Linked DNA regions of Tribolium castaneum. The protein of the gene in region 1 purifies or fractionates together with the protein of each later gene. This does not show direct contact. Links are inferred from orthologs where the notes say so. Each region holds a gene or a part of one and is shown on either strand. Other genes may lie near its edges.

What was found.
Region 2: the proteins of RCC1-like G exchanging factor-like protein (region 1) and pseudouridylate synthase TRUB2, mitochondrial purify together in Homo sapiens (affinity purification with mass spectrometry; 3 studies listed by BioGRID and IntAct, with this or other methods). This does not show direct contact. The link is inferred for Tribolium castaneum from reciprocal best matches to the Homo sapiens genes RCC1L and TRUB2.

Annotation. Positions count from the first base shown.
Region 1 is NC_087395.1:14,160,688-14,168,187, reverse strand, and holds RCC1-like G exchanging factor-like protein, read right to left. Parts: upstream 3,709-7,500; 5' UTR 3,477-3,708; coding exon 3,201-3,476; intron 3,157-3,200; coding exon 2,092-3,156; 3' UTR 2,070-2,091; downstream 1-2,069. Other genes in the region: Chs2 (chitin synthase 2), read left to right, coding at 1-537, 1,430-1,841, 1,889-2,061; BBIP1 (BBSome-interacting protein 1-like), read left to right, coding at 3,929-4,117; LMBR1 domain-containing protein 2 homolog, read left to right, coding at 4,120-4,293, 4,341-4,519, 4,566-4,944, 4,993-5,169, 5,230-5,407, 5,458-5,639, 6,041-6,280, 6,333-6,642 and 1 more. UniProt on the Homo sapiens protein: Guanine nucleotide exchange factor (GEF) for mitochondrial dynamin-related GTPase OPA1. Activates OPA1, by exchanging bound GDP for free GTP, and drives OPA1 and MFN1-dependent mitochondrial fusion. Plays an essential role in mitochondrial ribosome biogenesis.
Region 2 is NC_087398.1:10,488,972-10,496,978, forward strand, and holds pseudouridylate synthase TRUB2, mitochondrial, read right to left. Parts: upstream 5,205-8,007; 5' UTR 5,137-5,204; coding exon 5,016-5,136; intron 4,966-5,015; coding exon 4,774-4,965; intron 4,725-4,773; coding exon 4,508-4,724; intron 4,456-4,507; coding exon 4,319-4,455; intron 2,997-4,318; coding exon 2,749-2,996; 3' UTR 2,664-2,748; downstream 1-2,663. Other genes in the region: actin, cytoplasmic, read left to right, coding at 1,738-2,363; male-specific lethal 1 homolog, read right to left, coding at 5,747-5,846, 5,896-6,227, 6,278-6,402. UniProt on the Homo sapiens protein: Minor enzyme contributing to the isomerization of uridine to pseudouridine (pseudouridylation) of specific mitochondrial mRNAs (mt-mRNAs) such as COXI and COXIII mt-mRNAs.

The DNA.
Region 1 (7,500 bases):
TACAAGGCCGATAACAAGGAAAACGAGCAGTTGAGGAAAATACAAGAGTCGTTGAGAGACTTGAATAGGAAAATCGAGTCGCTGGAAAAAATGCAATATCCGGATTTGAGGTCTCCTGCCGTTAGCAACGTTACAACGTTCATGGAGGGCTCAAAGGCGACGGTTAAGAACAACGTGGAGGATAACTACATGGAGGCTCCGCAAGACAATGTTTCGCAACCGTCGGATGAGGTCATGGAGAATAGTTGGTTCTACGATGGGCCTTTGATTAGGGGGGAAGTGCATTACTTGAATAGGAATGAGGAAACGTTTTGGAATGAACTGATAGAGCAGTATTTACACCCGATTGAGGATGACAAGAAGAAGGTTTCGGCTGAATTGAAAGATTTGAGGGACAAAATGGTGTTTACTTTCCTGATGTTGAATTCGCTCTACGTTATTGTGATTTTTTTGCTCACTTTGAAGAAGGATTTGCTCCATCTGGACTGGCCGTTTGACCCCAAAGTGAACTTCACGTATTTCGAGGACAAAAATGAGGTAAGCGCACTGTTTGGTTTTTGTTAAATGAGATAGAATACACCATTATTGAAGTTGTTTCCGCTCTACAGTTATTACGTGAATTTTAATAATTCATAAAGAAAGTTTTCATTCATTAAAGAAAGGTCTAAAACCCTTCAAAAAGCATTAATTTTTATTCACTCCAGAAGTACCCAAATATCTGTAGACCATCAAAAATTGGGCACATGAAAAAACAGGGTTTTAGTGCTTTCCCAAAAGTCAACATCCGAAAAAGATCTAAATAGGAAATTCATTAAATAATTATTTGCTACTTTGTTTTATATAACACTGGAAAGTATTCGATGTAAAAATGACAACAAAAATAATATTGAAAAACAGCCTAAACTTAAATAATATCTTTCGAAGAGGGCAGATTATACGACACATTTCACATGTTACTCGTAGAAACAATTTTAATTGAAAGAAATAACATCCCTTTAAAAAATTATCGCATTGAAAACTTTACTACATTGATTTATTTTTAAACCATATTCTCCAAAAAACTAAAGCTTTACTCCGAAGTAAAAGCAAGAATTTATTATTCATGCTAATTAAAGCTTCTACTTTTTTCTCCAAGTAAGTACTTCATCTTTATTCATATGGCCCATCATATAAATTTTAATTGATAAAGGAGATAACATAGGAAGTTTCATAGAAACCGTATCTGTTTATTATTATTTTTTATATGTATTTGCCTCTTGCCTCAAATATGTAAGTCACAATAGCCACATAATGTTCATTTTAAAATATTTCGCGACAAAATGTAATATTTTCAGGGTTGGAGCGTTTTCAGTTTTTAGATGACAATGTAATGTACATTGCTTCAGAATTTTTAATAATAAATTCGCACATTACTGATCAAAATTTTCAGATTGGCGTTTACATAACATACCTCCAGCTGGAGCCCATCGGTTTCGTGTTCCTCATATTTTTCGCCCTGCTTATGGTGATCCAGTTCTTCGCAATGATGATCCACCGCTTCGGCACCTTCTCCCAAATCATCACAAAAACACAATTAGACTTCGATCTGTGCAGCAAACCAATCGACGAAATGACTGTGGACGAACTCAGGTCCCGCGACCCTATAAAAATAGTCGCAGATTTACAAAAACTAAAAGGTATAAACAACGAATACGAGGACCAAACGGAAGTTCCGGTCGAAATGCGAAAAACAGTAAGTAATTTGGCGCAAACGAGCGGTGGTGGTGAGAACAAGCCCATATTTTATTTGGATGAAGCGTTCCAAAGGCGAGTCACTCAAATAGGGAGCACTTCAAGCAACAGTAAGTCACCAATTTGTGGGCGAAACCATCACTGATTTATTTTTTAGACCCGAGCATTAGCGCCTTTAGGAAGAAAAGCCTTGCTTACGTCCAACAAAGAATGAGCATAGCCCCAAATCGGGTGTCACAAGCCCGGCCTAGTGTGCAGTTACGGTACCCCAATGGAAAAGCCAACGAAAATTTCGTTTTTGACGAAAACGGGTCAGACGTGGAGGCATAAAATTGAAATTATTTTTTACTCTTAAATTTATTAAATAAAAGGTTTACAAAGTGCCACCGTGTGGTCATACCCGCAAAACACCTTCGACGCGTAGCCCCCTAGCGCCACTTTAAACGGGAAGTTCTGGTCGTTGGCGAACCCCAGCCCCAGACAGCCCCTCATGTTGCGCCCCCACGCGTAAACATCCCCCAGACTCGTCACAGCCATGGCGTAGCTCAACCCACAAGCCACTTGTACCACCCTGTTGTTAGGTTGAAAGTCGTTCCTGCCGAACAAAACCTCGGGGAGTTTCCTCGGGCGGGAGGTTTGCTCGGCCTTGGGCCCCCCGAGGACTAGACCGTAGCCCCACACGAAAACCTCCCCGTGTTCGTTCAAAGCGAGGCAAAATGAGCCCCCGGCTGCCACATCCACGACTTTGCCCACTTTCAGGTGCTTGAGGTGGACTGGGTTGCTCACTTGTTGCTCGTTGTTTATTGTGGGGATCTGGTCGTACTCAGCGTTGCCCCAGCCGAAGACTTCGCCCCTGTCATTAAGGGCCAACGCGAAGTCGGATCGCGACGATATTTTGACTATTTTTTCGGACTCAATCTCGCCCGTGATTCTCGTGAAGGCACTTGTGTTGTCAAACGTGCCGAGGCCCGTTTGGCCGTCAGCCCCCCACCCGCAGGAATACACAGCCCCGTCGTCAGTTACGGCCAAAGTGTGGTCTTGACCACATTCAATGTCGGTTACTTTCTTACTGTCTATATCAGGAATGTGGTTTATGTAATTACTTAAAAAATAATTTTCGTCTTGGATGATTTCGCGCCCGCACTGGCCGTAGGCGTTATTGCCTAGGAGGAAGAGTCCCTCGTCTGTTAACACCACGAGATGTGCACGCCCCGCCGCTAACTTTCGTATCCGAGTTTTGGTTGGGTTTTTTAAAGGTAGTTTAATGGCCTGCGGGAAGTAAATAATCTCCAAAGGGTGCCCTTGACGCACTTCATGTCTTCCAATTTGTGAGTCGGTATTAAGGCCCGTTCCGTACAATTTATCTTCAGATTCGGTATCAACACCAAACGCGGTGAAACCGAAGCCACAAGCGGCAGTAGTCACCTGCAACTTTCATTAAAATATTGAAACTTGCGGGAACAACGTACTGGGAATTTTTCAGCAAAACCTAGCCGCTTTGGGATGTCTACTGTCTCCCGATGCATGACATTTTCGTTGCGTCTCAAATACGGAATACCTAAGGCCCCCGACATAAGGTTGCCCCAAACAAACACTCGTTTGTACGACTTTTTACTAGTACCGTAGTCAAAGACAGGCAGTGATTTTGCCTCGTCGCGATCGATGGGGTATTTGCGTTTTACAGACATGAAGCGTCCACGGGGGCATTTTTCGAGATAAATCACCCGTTTCAAGTGATTTAACATGTTTTTGTTGTTATTAACCCCACTTTTTTTTACTTGCGTGAAGTCAGCTGAAGATCGCGCAATGTTGGTGGATTCTATGGTTGGTGGCTATACCGACATCCTTGACGAATTGTCGCCAATCGGAGAAACGCAAACCCATGTGTATTTCACGAAAAATTTTGATATCTATTCTAATAATCCCAATTTCGACACGGACACACAATACCAGTTAATAATTAAGTCAAATGTGATGATTTGGGCGAAAATTGGCGCAAATTATTGGTGATAACCCAGTAATCAATATTGGCCACATTGCCAACTGACACTTGTCAAAGTGACGTTTCGTGTGTGTGTGTGTGAAGGTTCAATATTTTCGGAATTTTCACGTGCGGATTAATTTTCCGGCCACAGGAAATCTCTAATTACTTGGACGATCGATATTGATGACTATGTTGTGATGTCATTTAGTGACAATGTCCAGTGTGGAAAAACCAAAACCGATTTTGCCTAAGAAAGGACAAATCATCATTGAAGACATCCAGGACTTGGTGTTGTGCAAACCCCGTCTGATCCCCCTTAAGAGTTTCACTTTGGAAAAATTGGAGAAAATGCAACAAGAGGCCCAAAAATCGCAATCCCAGCAGAGTCCCAAAGACGAGTAAAAATGAATTACGGGCCGCTGATTTCGAAAATTTTGCTCTCTTTTATTCTTGCCTCGACGGTCTTGTACCGATATGGGAACTGGTTCAGGCACCACATTGTGGTGACCTTGATTGTGCTTCTTGCTTGGTATTTCAGTTTCTTGATTATTTTCGCGCTTCCGTTGGACGTAATTTCGGTGAGTGACCAATAGTCAGTTTCAGTCAATCACAGATTTGTTCCTAGACGGTTTACCGCCAGTGTAAGGAAGAACATGACACTTTTGACAACGCCACTTCTTCACTGATGCAAAATGTTACAAATAAAAGTATTGAAAAGTGTGAGGAGCCGTGGAGTCGAGTCCCTCATGAGGTTTTTCCGAACTTGTGGCGTACTGTGTATTGGAGCACTCAGTGCTTAACTTGGTATAAGTTTTCACACACAAAATTTCAACTAAAACAATAATTCCAGGCTAGTCATGCCCATGATGCAATCGTACATCAAAGCTGGTGATTTTACAGTCAAAGGCAAATTGAAATCGGCTGTAATCGACAATGCGATTTATTACGGCTCTTATTTGCTAATCTGTGGAGTTCTACTAATTTACTTGGCCCTCCAGCCTGGGATTCACCTCGACTGGTCAAAACTAAAAGCAATTGCTTCGTCAGCTAGCAATACTTGGGGCTTATTCCTCCTAGTTTTGCTGTTCGGATACGCTTTAGTTGAAGTCCCTCGAACTCTGTGGAACAACTCAAACCACAGTTTTGTGCTAACACATTCGTATTTCAAGGCCGCCAAGCTGAGTTCGGACAAGTGCGAGGCCGAGGAAACCGTCGACGATGTCCTCGAGGTTCCATTACTGATTCGTTGAATTTCCATAGTTATTCAATTGTTTTAGTCGCTACAAGCCGTCTCATTGGCCATTAATTCGCGGCATCCATTGCACGCCCACTTGGAGACCATTCTGCAAAAGGTGCCCACGGAATTACGGGACAGAATGAACCGGAGGCAGCTCCCCGAAGACACCCCCACGGATTTACCGAGCGAAAAGGCACTAGTCAGGCTCCACAAGCAAGTGAGTCTGGTCTTGACAAATAGGCGGACCGCAGACTAAACGCTTGCCGCACTCTTTCAGACGATAAAGTCGCTCCAGGTGTTTCAGAGAACCGAAACACAGTGGAACCTTCTCGTCGAGAAGATTTTCGATCTTGAGGACACTATCAAAAATCAGATTTCGCGAGATAAGCGATTTAAACGCACATTCCAAAAACCCCGATCTCTTTTCAGGAGGTTTTTGTACGTCCCGACAGTTGGTAAGAGTGTCACATTTGACGCGGCTGTGTATTTTATTCAATTGTTGAAGAGTGGTACTGGAAGTGTCTTTTTTATGGCTACACGCAAAAATTATTGGCTGTTATGGCTGGGCTTTTTTCGGTGGCTGTGGTTTGGTCCGAAGTGACTTTTTTCAACAAACAGCCAGTTCTCTCGATTTTTGCCGCTATTGTTAACAGAGCTAAAGTCAAGTACGACTATTTTACGATAGAGGTGAGTCACATTATTTTCTTAAATTGTTGCTATCGTTTGTTTTCGGGACAGTTCAGATCAAATAAAAAACAATTTTTCTATCGATGTTTCGTTAATTTATTCTTGACAATAACATTATTACTTAAGCTACAAACATTTCATATGGGAATGTGGAAGAACATTCTGAACATTTCCTTCTGTGCCCTGTCCTTTTTTTTTGTATTGTTGTTTTTTATGTATCGTTTTGTATTTTTCTTTTTTGTGTTGTGTACAAGAAATTATTAGTATTTCCGAAATTAGCTACAAGACAAACTTATATTTTTTAAGCGGAACTCCCTATATTTTTTTGGTGTAGCTTTTAAAACTATTTTTTTACTATTTTAAAGACTGCTAATTGTTTAAAAATTAAAAAATTGTTACAGTTATTGTCGACCATAATAATCCTGTACTTATGCTACTGTGCTTACTCAACGGTCCTCAAAATAAAACTCCTCAACTTGTATTACTTAGCACCGCACCACCAAACGAACGAGTACAGTTTAATCTTCTCAGGGATGATGTTGAGCCGACTGACGCCTCCTCTGTGTTTAAATTTCCTCGGCTTAATTCACATGGACAGCCACATAATAAAAAAACAAGTCATGGAGACCCACTACACCCAAGTTAGCCACTTAATTTTTTCTCCCACGGTCCAACTAACCGAATTTTTGCCAGATCATGGGTCATATGGACGTCATTTCAATAATCTCCGACGGCTTCAACGTTTACTTCCCAATGGCCATTCTAGTCTTTTGTTTAGCGACGTATTTCAGCGTCGGCTCGCGCCTTTTATCAATGCTGGGTTTCCACCAGTTCGTCGGCGACGACGAAATGACCACCGACCTGATCGAAGAAGGCCGCGAATTGATCAAGCGGGAAAAACGCAAACGCCAGCGGTCGGAGGAGGCCAGCACGAGACGAACCGAATTCAGTGAACGGTTCCCGACCACGGGGAGGTACAGGCCCCGGGGAAGCACCGACACGAGTAAGTCGCGCTTCTTATTGGGCCATTGTTAGGCGATGGTTTCAGTTCGTCCAATGACGCAACTGGAAAATTTGGACAACACGCGCTCAAATTTGCTGCAAGAGTCGCACCCGCTGGACTCGTACGAGAGTCGGAGGTACACGAGTGAGGTCGATACGAGGTTTCCCCCGGATCAGGACGATATCGATGCGCGGTTCGGCGCCAGCACGAGGATTAACGAACGGTATAACAGTTCGCAGGAACTGGAGCCGAGGTTTGCCGACTCGTATCAGTCGGATGGTAACTATAGAAACCGCGTGGGGGCGCCCCCGAGGGGCATTTTCGACGACGTTTAAGTTGTTTAAGTCAGTGATGTTTATTATATTGCGTTGAGAAATTATATTTTTATATTGTTTATAAGGCAGTTTGGTTTTTCAGGTTTCAGCTGAAACCCACCATAGTCAAGTCTTGTAATAGTAGGTTTTAGCGTCCAACGTTTCACGGTAGTAACTTATTTCAGTGTAATCACGATTTCTTCTGGGTCGGATTTTTAAATCAAGTTGGCAACACTAAATAATGAGTCGCAGGCCACTTTGATGAGAAACTTAATTGAAAGCCTGGCATTTGTTATGTAATATTCCAATTACACGTGTAATAAAACAGCCATAACCAGAATAGCATTTTATTAATTACAAAATAAACTGATCACAACAAACTTTGGAAATAAATAATTGTTTAGGCTAAATAAATGATAAAAAACGTCGTAATAGCTAGCGCAAAAAAGGCCAAAGTGTACATGATGGTAATACGGATTAGTTTCTTCTCCTCAGTTTCATAAATCCTGTTGATAACACGTTTCTTCTGCAAACCTTCCAACGA
Region 2 (8,007 bases), on another chromosome or scaffold:
TATAAATGTCAGAAAATTCAAATTTTTTATGTCCAAATAGAAATGTCCCGGACTGTATAATTGTTATATGACAAGTAATGTTTCTACCTTCAAAAATACTTGCGTAAATATTTTATTATCCCGTTAGTACACACTTTTAAAGCAGCCACGGGTTATATAGATTAAAATTATAACATTTCCTTTGTTATTGTTTACATCAGTCAGCTGTTTACTGTCATTTTCTAATCCTACCAATTTCAAAAATGTCCCTGTTATTAAAGCTCAAGGACCATAGAATGAGAGAGAGAACATTTTTTGTTCACATAGACGCTGAATATACGTATAAATGTCAGAAAATTCAAATTTTTTATGTCCAAATAGAAATGTCCCGGACTGTACTTGTCATTGTAATTTTTCAAAATAAGCAAAAAAAAACAATCGCCTCTTATGAAATAAGACAAAAACAAAAAAAAGTAAAGCTTTTAAGTGTAATTATCAATAAGTTTTTTAATTTTTTTACTTTATTTTTTTTATATATATTTTGTTATGTATTTTTATTTTGACTTACCAGGAAGAACAGTAAACAAAAATATCGGTTGCCTATACAAAAAATTAAAATGATAATTGACACCTTTTTTCTTCTTTGTCATTTATTATTACAATGTTATATTGATAAACTCGCAAGCTGGTGCAAGATCCACAAACTTACACTTAATTTTACAAAATGTTTTATGGTTCGTTTTACAAACAACACACGTATCTTAAAGCACAACTATAACAACGATAATAATCCATTACGAGTACTAGAAAAAATAAAAGGTTTAGGCACAACGTTTGATTAAAAATTTTCTTTTATTTATCATATAGAAGATATCATTTCAAAGTCTCACAGAATGTTAGGATTTATAATTATTAGAAGCGCTTTTCTATTTTTTTGTCATATCTTATCTTAAATATCCTTCACTAGTTTGGTTCTCAATTTATAAGACCCACTTAGAAAAAAAATTATAAAAAAATATTATTAATTAATTAATTAATTAATTGTACAATTTCAATAGTGTATTTCTGAATCAACAGAGCTTAAATGATGTTTTAAATAAAAATTTTAATAAAATAGTTGCTACCCTCAAAATTTCGATTAATTAAATTTTAACATTTTTTACTTTATTAACATTAATATTTTTTAAATAATTAAGGGCCAATTTAATAATCGAATTTAAAAGAGCATTAAATCAAAACTTGTTTAGAATGTGAAATGTTTCTCAGCAAATCCGTAGTAACTAGCTCATCATAAACAACATTTAATTTAATGCTTCTTTAAATTCCTTTAGATTTTGTTACAAAAATTAAAATTTTTTTTGGAATACTTATTCAATATTTTCGTTAACATCATAATAATTCCACGTCAGTTTGTTAATTGTTTTTTTTAACATTCACAAATTGATTAATTACATAAAGTCGCCAAATTTCTCCCAGAGTATTTTCAAGTTTACGAGGCGATAATGATTTATTGCTGGCAACGGTTGCGGCCAGAGGGACGACAGAAATAGCAGGGGTTCGTTTTCTGGAGACGACATCTTCAGATCGTTTAGCATATTATGTCAAACTTTTGTATGATTTTTTTTTGTATTTAATATTGCTTTAAAAAAATGGTTGAGGCCCTATTCTCAATTACAATTACCAACGATCATGCTAAATTTATAGTTATTTTCTTTTCGATATGAATTAATTACAGTAATGCAAAACTTTTTCCCCCAGGTTATGCCATCCCGCACGCAATCTTGCGGATGGACCTCGCCGGACGCGACCTAACCGATTACTTGATGAAAATCCTAACCGAACGCGGTTACAGTTTCACGACGACCGCAGAGCGCGAAATAATCCGCGATTTGAAGGAGAAAATCTGCTTCGTAGCTTTGGATTTTGAACGAGACCTCGCACTCGCGAGAACTATGAACAATTTTGAGAAAAGTTACGAATTGCCAGATGGACAAATCATAACAATCGGGAATGAACGTTTCCGGTGCCCGGAAGCTATGTTTCAACCGACTTTTCTGGGAATGGAAACAACAGGAATTCACGAAACCACTTATAATTCGATTATGAGGTCTGACATGGATATAAGGAAGGATCTTTATGCTAATATTGTGCTCTCTGGAGGAAGTACAATGTTTTTGGGGATGGCCGATAGGATTCAGAAGGAGATAGCTGCCCTAGCGCCGGCTTCAATGAAAATTAAAATTATCGCACCGCCTGAGAGAAAATATTCGGTTTGGATTGGGGGAAGTATTCTGGCGAGTCTGACGACGTTTCAACAAATGTGGATCTCGAAGGATGAATATGATGAGTGCGGACCTGTTATCGTTCATCGAAAGTGCTTCTAATGTATAATGAAAAAAAATTATTTATCAAAACTAGAATACAATACTTTTGTTAATAAACGACAAATCATTTTGTAAAAAATGGTGCTGTGTAAACATCAATAAATATCGTAAAATGTTCAAAGTATTTTTAACCCGTCCAACATAAAATATTAAAACCCAACACAAAAAAGTTGCTCAATTAAAATTAAAAAATTAATGTTTTCATATTATATATTATTATTATGTTATATTATGGTATATTTATACTATAATACTATAATATAAAACTTTGGTGACTTTTATGTAGGATAAAATCATATCTTACTGCTTTGGATATTTTATTTTTTGACAAAACAAACAAATTTAACGTAAAATAAATGATTTTTACAGAAGACAATTGAATAAACTACTGTAAAGCTGCCGACTTTTGTCTGATAATATTTTCGTGTTCATCCATAATCTGTATACATTGTTCCATGTTTGTAATAATGTCCTGCAAAGTCCAGTGTTTGCGCAAAAGTGCATTTTCTACAGTAAAATAACTATGTCTGATGCACTGAATTGCCGTACAATGCGCTGAAGAATGTAATTTCATCCCAATTTCATGTATTAAACTTCTCAGGTAAGTTTCATATTCATTTATGCATTGTATTTCTACGAGAAGTATTAATTTATTTTAGCTTTAGTAATTAGCCTCCCTGAGGGATAAGGAAAATTGCTAACTTCACGTGGTGTAGTTACAGTTCATTTTTTTATAATCAACTGTGATGTAATTCATGAAAAGTTTTGAGCATGGCCTCCTTGATGTATGGAGACAACTTCGTTGTTCAGGCCTGGCGCATCAATAAGCTTCAGCGGTTTTTTCGAAACCGTAGATGGCGCCCTATTTAGCGCACTGACGTTTATCTGACAAATAGCATTTGTGAGGTTAAATCCGAAAAAAAATTGAATTTAACAAGTACAATTAGCAGAAGAGAAGGTGAAAAAGAGCCCACAATGTAATTGATAATTTCTAAGTACAAAAACTCAAAAAAATTAATAAAGTAGTAGATTTTTTTCGGGAGTTTGGTGATCCACGAGCGGTGCGTGGGAGTGAGCAGAGGTCCAGACAGGGACTTTGGAACGAACGGTTCATAGACACTCCAGCAGAGAGTAACGCAGCAGAAGAACGCTGGATCGAGCTTTTTTTAACCATTTTATTTGAAAAAACGATTTTCTTTGTACATTTTACTAAAACTAAATTAACAATAGCAGGTTTTGAAAATACGTGTGTGCAAAATAGTTTCATTTGCTTAAACAATGTATTGCAAATATCTGCTGGTTAAAAGGTTGCAAATACATTTTAGAAAACTTAAGCCATGTCTTAAATATCACAGATTTGTAACGCATTCAACCTTAACCATTGGTAAAACCATAGAATATGCATAATAAATGGAAGGTACTTTGAAACATCGTTTTCTCTGCATCTGTGTCTGCGTACTAGTGCCGTAGGTTATGCTTAAAATACTTATAAACGATGAACAATCAATTCACCCTAAAATAATTTGTATATCTTCTGAAGCTGAAAATAAAAAATCCTAATGATCGTAAAATGACTTCCTGCAAGAGTTACACTATCCAAACGTTCATTCAGGGCATAACTTTAGAATTATCCTCACATTTTCAACGTATTTCACGAATGCATACTTACATCTTTCAAATTTATTTGTCTTTAACCTCAAAAATGATATTTGTCAAACAAGCGTCAGTCCGCTAAATGCAGCGCCAGTGGAGAATCAGCCGAACTTAACGATGCGCCAGGCCTGAACAACGAAGTTGTCTCAATACATCAAGGAGGCCATGGTTTTGAGATTTTTAAATTGAAAATGGCACCAACCTTTATTCAAAAACCTGATGGTTCTTTAACAGTTGATTATAAAAAAATGTTATAATTTTAAAACCTTTGAACCATCAAGGAGGCTGATTGTATCTCTTACCAATGACGAACTCTGGGGGTTCAAATTTAACACATTTAATTCCGTAAATGACTGGAAGTTTTGAGTTGGCAGGCCTGATGGGTCCCTGACAAGCCAATTTATAGGCCTCCTCTGATTGCAAATCAATGCCACATGACCTAGTTTAGTTAAATGAAAGAAATGCTGCTCATTCTCAATCAATAAACATACTTAAACATTTCTTTTTGGTGTGAAGCTTGAAGTGTTGCTAAAAACCTATTCATATTTTCTAGTTTAACGTGTCTCCAGGTTGTCCTTTCCACAACTTTCCCGTCCTTAAAGGCGTTATCGGTCGCTTCGCCCAATTTTCCGGACAATCGGTAACACCTAGTGGGTCTGTTCTCTCTTATCAATTTCGCTACTTTGGTGCCTTTCCCTAATCCTAACACTAAAATAAACAGTTAATTTATTTATCACTTGTGTCTTTAACATATTACAAAGCACTCCGCTCGTATTAAAACCTAAAAAATTCGACCAACTACATTTTAAATCATCGTGGATGTAACGAGGTCCCACAACAAGAGGGTCATCGGCGAGACTTGGTTTTACAGATACGGTTAATTTTCCCGATGGATTTCCTTCAATACAAACGAAATCAACTGGAGGGCGACACTCCATCTCATTTAAACCTATAATTCTGTGCAAAATTATCGGAATAAGGGGGCTAGCTTAACCTAACCTTTACAAACAGCGGCAATGATAGTTTTGCGTACGCGTTCACATGTTACACTAGGAGGCTTGTAAACACAAATAATGGACCGGAGACCCTCCCAAATCACGGGGGCGTCTTTTATTAACATTTTTATGTTTACGTAAAAGTTAGGTTAGTATTTAAAATAACTATGGTGCTGCCACCTCGCGTCAAAGAAGTGTAAGGCCGTGATGTGTAATTTTTCCGACCGCGTCTGAGGTTCAATCCCTGGTCAGGACCATTTTTTTTTCTTGAGGGCATAAGCAAAATGATTCGAAAAAATTGTGTATATTTAAATACAGTGACTGATACACAAATAAGTACAACTAATACATTTATTTATTTAACGCGCTTCAACTAAAAATATATGATTCATTATTTGTAAATTAATATCATTATCAGGAAATCTATGGACATAACAATTCCGATATCACAATATTACATTACTTAAAAATTAAAATTCGCAACCTAAAACCCTAATATGGAGTCCTAAATTGGTATTACGGCGCCTAGTAATCTACTCCAAAAGTAAGCTTACAACCTAAATAAATACTTTACAAACTGTCATGTAATGAGATTGTTTCAATTTACAAATAACCTGTATGTATTCATAAAATCACATTTTCGTTCATTCCACCACTTCATAATTTATTTTTATTTACAAAAACATCAGGCAGTGGTGCTTGACTAAAATTTTATTTCGGTTGTTGACATAATACTTATCTCTTTGAGTTTTTCTTTCTCACTGTTGTTCGTTTTGTTGACCCTCTCTTATTCGTGATTAGCGCAGGGTTAGCCAACCATGGCAAACTAAATTCACTAAAAAAACAAAGTCGAGAAAAATTCAGTGTGATCAGGTCATAGGTACCTGGGGGCTATTTTGGGAATAGGTGAGCCAAAGGCCGCCACTGGCAGCTGATCAGAGACTTCCAGATATTTAATGTTGTCTAAAGTGGGCCAAAGAGACAGCACGGACTCGATTTGTTCATCCGTCCGAGACCCCGAACCCATTCTTTCCTGTCTCTGCTTCAATTTTTCTATTACCCGCTGTTCTCTTATCCTTTGAACGTCCCATCGCTTTCTCCTACGTTCGTCGTTTTCCAACCGACTGTGTCTTTTGTTGTAGACTTCATCGTCTAAATTTTCAGTCCCTTCCATTGCGTAACAACTAGCGTACACTTTAACCCTCCAGCGGGGCACCTACAACACTTTCAAATTTAAAAAGACTGAAATTTTGACCTGATTATTACCTCCAAATTCGTATTGTTTGGAATTTCTTGCATGTCTGTAACGTTCGACAGCCTCAAATTTGTTCGACCGGCTTCAGTAATGTACTGATCGGTTGTGGTCAAAATTTGAGAATCTTTCAGAATACCTGAAACGTTTTTGCTTAATTCGATTCAATCACATTTTCTGTGATCAATGAAAGAAGTTTCGTTTTTTTAAGACGTTCTTCTGTTACCAAATTAAACCACTCTGTTTTAAAAATCACGTACCCATGGCCAAAAGTGCCATTTAGACACATTTATAAAATACATCCATAAAATAAAACTCAGTTACTGAAACGCTATTTTACACATTTATTTAATTAATAAATAACTAAAATTACTTATTTTTTAAGCTTTTAACTCTGACTAGAATGGTGCCATCTAGTGATGGTTGTTATATTTTTGAGGTCTGATTCACGCCTCAAATAAATATATATATATATATATATACAGGATGATTCAAAAGCATCGGACAATCTCTCGGGTGCTGATAAAAGACATCAAACTGAATTAAAAGTTCCTATGACAAAAAATTCTGTTCTCAGTTTTTCTATCTTTCCATCAACTGAAAGTTTACAAGATAAAGTCAGGTCAGGTCAATTCGGTTCGGGTAGGGTCAGGTTTTATTATTTTAAAATTTATCCAGTTTTATAAAAGCTATATAATTTTTGGTCACTTTATTAATTTACATTTATTTAGTCTAAATCAAATTAAAATTCAAGTGCTTAAAACGCTTTAGATTTTTTACTTTTTCAATTTCGGAATTCTCACTTAGAAAACAGAAGAAATTTTATAATAAAAAAGCGATTGCAATAATTTAAAAACAAGTAGGAACCTCCTTTAGAATTTGTTCATTATATTAAACTGTTAGTTGATTGCTTTGCGGAAAGTACTACTACTTTTATTATTAAAAAAGATAATAACATTATAATAAAATGTAATAATTGTAATTAACAGTTCTACGTTTTTCGCCACATTATTTTAAATTACGCACCCAAATATACAAAACAGATACGATTTAAATGGATTAAAGTAGAGTAAATACAATAACGAAGCAAAAAAAAATATATTGTGAGAAATTAAAAAATCATTTAAAAAATCTGTACTATTTCAGCAAAAAACTGAAAGCAAATCTGGATTCAGAACGTTTAAATCTTCATTTTCATACTAATCTTATTTAAAGGAAGATTTCGTTGCACACTAATGCTATTAATGTTAATTAATTTCGTCTTATAAAGTGTAAGTTACCATACAAGAATGTAAATAACTCTTCAACAGTTATTTTCTGGTTATCTTCGGTAGGACGCAACATTTATTGGGTTGGTATCGCTACCCTTGCTGACACTGAAACGATGATTTTTTAACGATGAGTAACAGAAATTTAAATTTTACTAGTTTAACCTGTTTTTGAGTTATTGGTTACAAAAAATATTGTAGGTAACTCATTTAGAAAGCAATTTTCTACATTTGTAATTCATGCAGCACTCCTTGCGTTTGTGCTGCAAACAAACTGCTCACGGGATACACTGTATCCATAAATACTTGATAATCAAGAAAAAAAATCTGCGAATTAAGCCAAAGGGGTGATTTTTGGGTCGAATGAGGCAAGAAAAGCATAAAAAAACTGTAAACTTCATTAAATATTTCATAATGTCAGGACGTCAGAATTGCTTTCCCCTAACGTGGCTCCCTCCTGAGGTAAAGCAAAACTC